Schizosaccharomyces pombe: one gene and its partner. The protein of the gene in region 2 interacts with the protein of the main gene of each other region in a pairwise test. Each region holds a gene or a part of one and is shown on either strand. Other genes may lie near its edges. The genes, in order: mdm35 and SPOM_SPBC56F2.07C.

Region 1 (3,245 bases), 3.4 Mb from region 2:
TATTTTAGGTAAAAATTTGTTTTTGATTAATAATCTGCAATTAAACTCTAATATACCAATTTGCTACCTAACTATGAAAGACATGTTTTACAAAGGAAATTGACTGCACTTCAACTTTCAGCTTCTTAATACCGTATATCAATTACAATCAATAGTATGAAATTCTCAACAGAACTGATTACTACTGGACTCAGTGTACTTTTGAATACAATAGTTCCAAAACTAATAAAGAAAATACTGAACATTCATGCAAAGCTTTTCCTAAACGTAGAGGTTCGAAATTTGACTTAACAGTTACAAATTTTATTTATTTAAAAATGATAAAAATCAATTGACATTTACAGTATTTTTTTTCATTCATTCAAATTTTTATTGTTTAACTGCGACTGATGTAGTTAATATGTATATGTTATATATTTTTTAGTGACAGACTTGGACACTATGCCTGAGTGGTTAAAGGGACAGACTAGAAATCTGTTGCGGTCTCCGCGCGCAGGTTCAAATCCTGCTGGTGTCGAATTTTTGCCAAAATAATGTTTTTGCATGTCGAAGTGAAAATAGACTAATTAAGAAGGAATACCATTCAATTCTTTGATTATAAGTATATTCTTACAAGTTTTCTACAAAGGTGAGTCCAATGAAAAGATGTTCATATCATTTTACTTAGTATGATCTTAGTCAACTACCCTTTTAGAGAATTATTGGTTTGCCAGCAAAAGGATATGCCGAATCATATGTTCTTAAACAACACCTTTAGAAGTGTATACTTGCTTCATGGCAGAGATATTTCGTTACCTACAATTCTGATAAACTTACAATTGCACAGATGCTTATCACTTTTTCACCCGTTTTAAAAGAAGAGCTTTATTCCATGGTACTGCTATCTTTCAAAGCAACCTTAAAAATCATATATCCAAAGATGCTCTTACTTTAATCTTCTTTGCGTGCTGCTTCAAGAAGAGGATCTATTTTTTTCGTTTTCAAAGCCTTCAAAAGACATGATTTGTACTCGGCAAAGAGCTCATCACAGTCTCTATTATGGAGATCACCTTTTAAGAATTTATTCGCATACCAATCGTTAAAGCAGGCATCATACTTCTTCTGTTCATAATTTAGTCAGCTAAAATTCGTCCACAGTGTTTATCATATAAAGAAAACTCTACCTTAGCAGGGGTACATTCTTCACTAACAGAGGACGACATAGTTGGATTCAGTAATCTTGATACTTTTCCAAACTGTTGAATGAATGAATTTTCTCCAGATCAATTAAACCAATTTCCTTGTCAAGGAAAAAAAAAATGAACGAAAAAAATTTAACAAACTTGAAGAAATGAATCAAGCAGTTTTCGATCCCAATTCCCTATGACCGTAGTAACGTGGTTGTCTAGTATGTGTAGAGCACTAAGCAAAATACCCCATGCCAGTTCAAGTTTGACACTCCACTTGGAACTTGTCAATAAAGCGAATTTGAATCTTATTTTTACTTATTTATTTGCATTAATCTTCAAATTTGCACGATTAGTGCTATTAAGCCTATAAAAAGTTGCAGTTCTATTAAATAGCCACATACATCTATTTTGTACATTACTATCCTGGCGTTTGCTGATTACGTCCTATTTTTGAATTATTCATTAGTCTTTTTTTTAGTGAAATCTTAGACTTCCAGAACCAGCTTTGTTATTTTTTTTTCTTTTTCTGGCAACTACGCTTGACAAAAAGTTTTTCATTAGGCAAGGATTTTAACCAATATAATGTCACTGGCAGATGAATTATTAGCTGATCTTGATGATATTGAGGAAACTACAGAATCTACAATTACTGATGAACTTGGGCCAGATGCGAAGAAAAGGCGGTTAGAGTTACAATTAGAGGAAGGAAATGGCATTTCTGCTGAATTAGAAAACGATTTGGATATTACCAAAATTAGCGATTCTGCTCAAAAATTGCCTAGTGAAGTTGCTAATAAATTTAATGACAATAATGAGAACATTTATCAGCTGTTGAATTCTACACGTCTTCGCGATATCATAGAAGGAACTGAGAAATATAAAGGCACCGAAAAACAAGCTATCACTGGAAACATCGAAGATGATCTCGAATATCACCTTATCGTGGATTCTAATTCAATTGCGATGGAAATTGACGATGAAATCCTGCGGCTGCACAGACTCGTGAAGGAATGGTATCATGACCGATTTCCTGAATTAAGTAGTTTGGTCTTGAATGCCTTTGACTATTGCAAAACTGTTAGTTCTCTGTTAAATGATTTAGACAACAGCAAAACCAAACTTTCCTTTCTTCCTTCTGCTACAGTGATGGTTATTGCTACAACAGCAACGACAACAGTGGGAAAGCCTCTTCCAGATGAAATGATAAAAAACGTTAAAAATTGCTGTGAGGCAATTCAGCAATTGGGTGAAGAAAAGCAAAAAATTATTGAATATGTCCAATCAAGAATTAGTGTCGTAGCTCCTAATTTGTCTGCAGTCGTGGGTTCTACCACAGCTGCCAATTTAATCGGCATTGCAGGAGGATTGACTAGACTTGGAAAGTTTCCTGCTTGCAATTTACCAGCGCTCGGAAAAAGGAGGCTGACAACAATTGGTATTAACAATCCGGCTGTTAGTGGGGATTATGGATTTTTGTATATGTCGGAAATTGTTCAAAAGACCCCTCCTGATGTACGAAAGCAAGCTATCCGAATGACTGCTGCTAAAGTTGCTTTAGCAGCAAGAATCGATTCCATTCATGAATATCCTGATGGCTCATTTGGCATATCTGCTCGAAAGGAAGTTGAACGGAAAATTGAAAAGCTTTTGGAACCTCCATCACAGAAACCAACTGTTGCGCTACCCGTTCCTGACGATAGGCCAAAACGTCGTCGTGGAGGAAGAAGAATTCGCAAGATGAAAGAGCAATATGCCGTAACGGAATTGCGGAGATTACAGAATCGCGTCGCCTTTGGTAAGGAGGAGGCGGAAGTCTTTAATTTTGACGAAACGGAAGGTCTTGGTATGCTTGGTCAAGAAGGTGAAGGAAAAATTCGTGCAGTGTCAATTGATTCTCGAACTAAATTACGGTTACCAAAAGCGCGGAAGGCCCAACTACAATCAATGGCACAGAAGAATCCCCTTGCTGCAAGCGGTTTACAAAGTTCATTATCCTTCACACCTATTCAAGGCATTGAACTAGTGAACCCCTTACTTCAACGACAACAAAAAGTAGAAGAGGCCAACAAATGGTTT
Region 2 (5,509 bases):
GCGTACCCTTCATACCCTTCGCACATACCCCTGGGCACTGCTTCTCTTCCCTTGAAGGGTAATTTATACCAAATTTCTCGTAGTGATGATATCAAGTCTGGAGCTCCCGTTTTAGATACCTCTTCGCTTGTAAATCCCACTTTGGCAAAGTCAGCGAGTTTGAATAACTCCTCTCTTCTCAACCCATCTTCGTCTTTACTTCGTCGTGAGGTTCCCGCCGGAAAATTAACTATGCCTGCATATCCCTACACTACCCAGTTAATGAATCATACCGCCGGAGCTGACTATGGCTTACCTCGTCTATCATCTAAACTTCCCCAGGTGTTCCCTGGTAATTACCCTCGTCTTCAGCAATCGTTGTTCCCTCGTCAAGGGGAATTGCGCTTCAATTAGTCCTTCGTTAAAAAATACTGACGTTAGACATAAGTGCCCTTCGCTTTATATGTCTTTGTATATATTCACATTTGTCGTCATGGTTGTTATTGTGTTTGTGAATTAATACGTATTCGCTTCATTTTTTAATGTCCTTTGTTATCGAATCATTCTTTGTTCGCTAATGTTGTTTATCGTTTTTCCTATTATACTTAAGTGTAATGTTTTTGGGAATATAGTACTACTTGTGCCATATTCCTTTCCATTCTTTGAAATTATTTCCTTAACGCAAACGCTCTTTGCCAATTAATTAATATTGAAAACTTTTTCGCCGCTTTGTGTTTTTCATTTGAATGGTTTGGATATCGTCTACAACTAAGTAGTGCATACCACCCATGCATTGCCAGTAATTGGTTATTTCATCTACCCTTTGATGGTTTTATATTTCTAATATGTATAAGCTGATTTCTTAATTCTGCCATACGTTTAACCATGAAGGAATTTATTTACTACTTATTTCATATCTTTCGGGCGCGAACGTGACCACGCAAATGCACGGAAGATTTTTGTTTTTATTTTTTATTCTGTTATTTTATAAACTTTATTGGGTTTTGTTTTCACTTATTGTTTTCTAATTCTAATATGTTTATGCATTCATCAAACATTAAGCATGAACGTTGTGGTCTAAACCATTCTCTTTTCAGAAGATGCCACAACTTCTATTATGGAAAATCTAAAAAAAAAGAATTATGATGATGTTTACGGGTTAGAAAAAGATTTCTTCATTTTTTTGGATTGGTGAATTTTGAGTAAAATCAACTATATCTTAGCTAATGATTGTCTTCGCCAATTTCAATCATGAAGTCAGAGTCTTTTTATTACCATGCCTTTATTTTCTTTTGGAGTCCTATTTTTGTTTGTATAATTATTACTGTACCGTTGATTGAATTTATATCCAGGGAGATTATTCGGGTTATGTTAAGTTTATTGGAACGTTCATTTAACGCACTCTTTAAGCTTCCGAATGCTTGAGTTTTTTAATTTGCCATAGAAAAAAGTTTTAATTTTAAAAAAAAAAAAGCTTTACAATAAAAATAATTATTTTGTTTCTCATATACGTACCTTTTCAACCTAACCTTAAATAACAATTCGATTCGACACAATATCAATAAACAAATGTTTTATGTGATAGCAATCCTTGTAATTAATGATTACTGACATAGAAATGCAGTATATGTTTATTCTGTTGGAACAAGTGAAGTGACCTAAGTTAGAATGGGATCTACTCCTATGTTTCCTTTTCTGGAGTTAGCTGTAGCAAAAAACACACGATATTCTAAATGCACAAATAGTTAACCAAATTCCTAAGACAAAAAAAAACGTTCTAGCATTATATAGTTTATTCACGAATTCAGTTTTAGTGATTTGGATATTTATTCGTTTTTTCATACGGTACTATAGTGTTTCAATATCGATTCTCAAATTAAAATAAAGAACTCGTAATAGAAACAATCATTGTTAACTAAATGTTAATTCCAAAAACTTTTTACATTTGATATTCAGTTATTTGTAATTAAGAACACATTTAGGACAGCCGAACGTAGTACAGTATTTATGAAACAGGGCTTGACAAAAACCAAAAATTAAATTTTGTTCCATACTAGGAATTTAATGTCTGTGGCTATTAAGTTCACTGTTAAAATAAACGATGGCTCTTTAAGAAGGCAGCAAACTCGACACGTATTCTTAAGTCCTGCTGCTTTGAATCGTCTTAAGCTTTCTCCGTCACAAGTAATTTATTTGAAACATAAAGGCGGTGAAGCTGTTGGAATAACCCAATCAGTTAAGGGAAATGGAATAGGTCCATTTGAAATATTAATTAGTCCTTTATTGGCGAAATGGGCAAACTTGAAGGCCTTCCAGCGAGTTAACATTTCACAATATGTACACCCTTTAAAAGAAGCTGAAGGAATCAAAATTGTTGCTTCATTGAGTAGCAATAATGAACCTATACCAGAGTCCTTAATAAGGAAAGAATTGCTAGAAATAAGGTATCTTCATCCAGGCATGATTGTTATGGGTGAATCACCGATGAATATGGCAAAGAGTGGTAGCAAAAATCTCAGCTCAGAGAATATGGCTACGGAAATTTTTGAAATAAATTCAGGTTTATCTGCGCAATCGGGTACTGAAGTAGGGTCCTCTCAATCTTCTCCCTCCGTGAATGAATCTGAACCAAAAGCAACAGAAGATCTCGATGAGCTTTCTCCCGGCTCTTATAAAGTTAAAGAAATTCACATTCGTTCTCCTTCAAACCTTATAGAAGCAATTTCTGATATGTCTTTAGATGAGCCTCGTATTTACAAATTTACGGCAGCTTCCAGTATGGAAATTGAAACACCTGATTTATTAAAATTACCTCATGAAGACAGAACTCAGTCTGCATACAACCAAGGAAGTGAAGAGACTCAAAACTTCGACGGTCCTCCTTCTGCAGTAACATTTTCGTCGATTGGTGGTTTACAAGCCCAAATCGCCCAAATTCGTGACATTGTAGAACTTCCGTTTCAAAATCCCGAACTTTTTAAGTTTTTTAATATTATGCCTCCTCGGGGTGTTCTGTTATATGGTCCTCCAGGTACTGGCAAAACGATGGTTATGCGGGCTGTTGCTGCAGAAGCAAATGCACAAGTGTTTACGATCGATGGTCCTTCTGTGGTCGGAAAGTACCTTGGAGAAACTGAGTCTAGGCTTCGAAAAATATTTGAAGACGCACGGGCGCATCAACCTTCAATCATTTTTATAGACGAAATTGACGCACTGGCTCCCAAACGAACGGAGGACGTAAGTGAAGCGGAGAGTAGAGCTGTTGCTACTTTGTTGACTCTATTAGATGGAATGGCTAATGCCGGAAAAGTTGTTGTTATTGCTGCTACAAACCGACCTAACTCTATTGATGAAGCACTTCGACGACCCGGACGTTTAGAGAAAGAAATCGAAATCGGTATTCCTGATAAAAGCGCCCGATTAGATATCATTAAACTGTTGTTATCAGGTGTTCCTAATGAAATTAATGATGCTCAATTGGAAGATCTAGCCTCACGAACGCACGCTTATGTTGGTGCAGACCTAGCAGCTGTTGTTCGTGAGGCTGCTTTAAGAGCTATAAAAAGGACAATTTCACTACAAAAGGACACTTCGGGATTAGACATTTTCGGTGCGGTGCAGATGGACGATTTGGAGTTTGCTTTATCGTCTGTCCGACAAAGTGCTATGAGAGAGTTTATGATGGAATCGCCCAATGTACATTGGTCAGATATTGGAGGACAAGAAGAGGTGAAACAGAAACTAAAAGAATCAGTAGAATGGCCTTTAACTCATGGCGAAACCTTCTCACGATTGGGTGTTCGACCTCCGAAAGGCGTACTTCTTTACGGGCCTCCTGGTTGTTCAAAAACAATCACGGCCAAAGCCATCGCAACAGAGACTGGATTGAATTTTATTGCTGTCAAAGGACCAGAACTATTTGATAAGTTCGTTGGTGAAAGTGAACGAGCCGTTAGGCAAGTTTTTCAAAAAGCAAGACAAGCCAGTCCATCAGTTATATTTTTTGATGAAATAGATGCTTTGACTGCGAATCGAGGAGAAGACAATAGTAGCGACCGGGTAGTTGCAGCTTTACTGAATGAATTAGATGGGATTGAAGCGCTTAGGAATGTACTTGTGCTTGCTGCTACAAACCGCCCTGATATGATTGATCCGGCACTTATGCGACCAGGTCGCTTGGATCGCTTGCTTTACGTTGGACCACCAAATTTTGAAGCAAGAAAGCAAATTGTGAAGATACAAGCTGAAAAAATGAAGTTTGCAGAGGATGTAGACTTGGATTTGATTGCGGAAAAAACGGAAGGATGCTCAGGAGCGGAAGTCGTGGCTCTTTGTCAGGAAGCTGGTCTGATAGCTATGCACGAGGATTTGGAAGCGAAAGAAATATGTCAAGCTCACTTTAAAACAGCATTATTGGCATTGCGGAAAGCCATAACCCGAGATATGCTTGAGTATTATGCATCGTTTTCAGAAAGTGTTACTAGCATTTCCTGAGAAAAAATATTATTGATATTAGGGGTTTCATTGTTTATTAATATAATACTTTTTTTCTGTGGTTTTAGTGTATTGTAGATGACATGTGTGGTTAATAAACTTCGAGTGTTTACAAAGCTAGAAATGTTACAAGTGATTGCAGAACGAAATTCACAATACATTATACATTATGCTCAATTTACTTCTACTGCACATTATCAGCATTACAAAAAATAGACCATTTCACTAAAAAAATATTGAGAGATGTAAAAAGTCATAAAACTCGTCAATTTATTTTTAAAGAGAAACATTGATATGTACTAACGTAACATGGAAGCGACAAATAGTCCACAGAAAGTGACATCGGCGATACAGTGCAGAAAAGTTAACGATATACATACGTTTTGCCTTTCTTTTGTTAGAAAAAAAGGAGAGGCACGGCCTCGTCTTAGTCGTCTCCCATGATTATCCGCTGCAGACATCTACTTCAAAAAACCCTTCAACTTGGTGATAATTTCATCTTGTGAGGAGGATGAGTTTTCAATTTCACCGAGAGTTTCCAAAACACGACCACCACTTGCACTGTTGATCTTGTTCAAAATAGCAAGTTTCTCGCTGGTGCTACCAGGAAACATATCGCTGATTTTCTTCATGGTCTGAGCCTGTTTCACTTGCTTTTCTGCACCCAAAGCAGAGCTCAAAAAGTCATTAGACTTTTCGCCTCCCTCCTTGTTGCTACCACCACTCAAGTTGTTCATAAAGTTCTGCATAACGGAAGTTGGAATTAAGGGCAGATAGATTCAAAGTTTAGTAAGTTATCAGTCTTGCAACGTTGTAGAAGATGATATCCTGAGCTAGACACCCATATATATATATATATGTGTATCTACAATACTCTTGTTACTCCCCAAACACCAATTCGTCAAAAGTAGCCGATGATTTCAGTATGAAGTGATTTATGGGTAACCCATCTCATACCAATTATTTGAAACCACTTATCTGAGAAAGCGATAAAATTCACTATTCAACATACTGCAACGAAGTAAACAATAAACTT

The links.
Region 1: the proteins of SPOM_SPBC56F2.07C (region 2) and mdm35 interact in a two-hybrid assay, tested with the Schizosaccharomyces pombe proteins (one large-scale study listed by BioGRID).

The regions. Positions count from the first base shown.
Region 1 is NC_003423.3:742,026-745,270, reverse strand, and holds mdm35 (protein Mdm35), read right to left. Parts: upstream 1,203-3,245; coding exon 1,164-1,202; intron 1,102-1,163; coding exon 931-1,101; 3' UTR 634-930; downstream 1-633. Other genes in the region: U4/U6 x U5 tri-snRNP complex subunit Prp31, read left to right, coding at 1,752-3,245.
Region 2 is NC_003423.3:4,098,538-4,104,046, forward strand, and holds SPOM_SPBC56F2.07C (ribosome biogenesis factor recycling AAA family ATPase), read left to right. Parts: upstream 1-2,000; 5' UTR 2,001-2,043; coding exon 2,044-4,473; 3' UTR 4,474-4,687; downstream 4,688-5,509. Other genes in the region: puf1 (RNA-binding protein), read left to right, coding at 1-393; protein tam13, read right to left, coding at 4,935-5,222. UniProt on the Schizosaccharomyces pombe protein: ATP-dependent chaperone which uses the energy provided by ATP hydrolysis to generate mechanical force to disassemble protein complexes.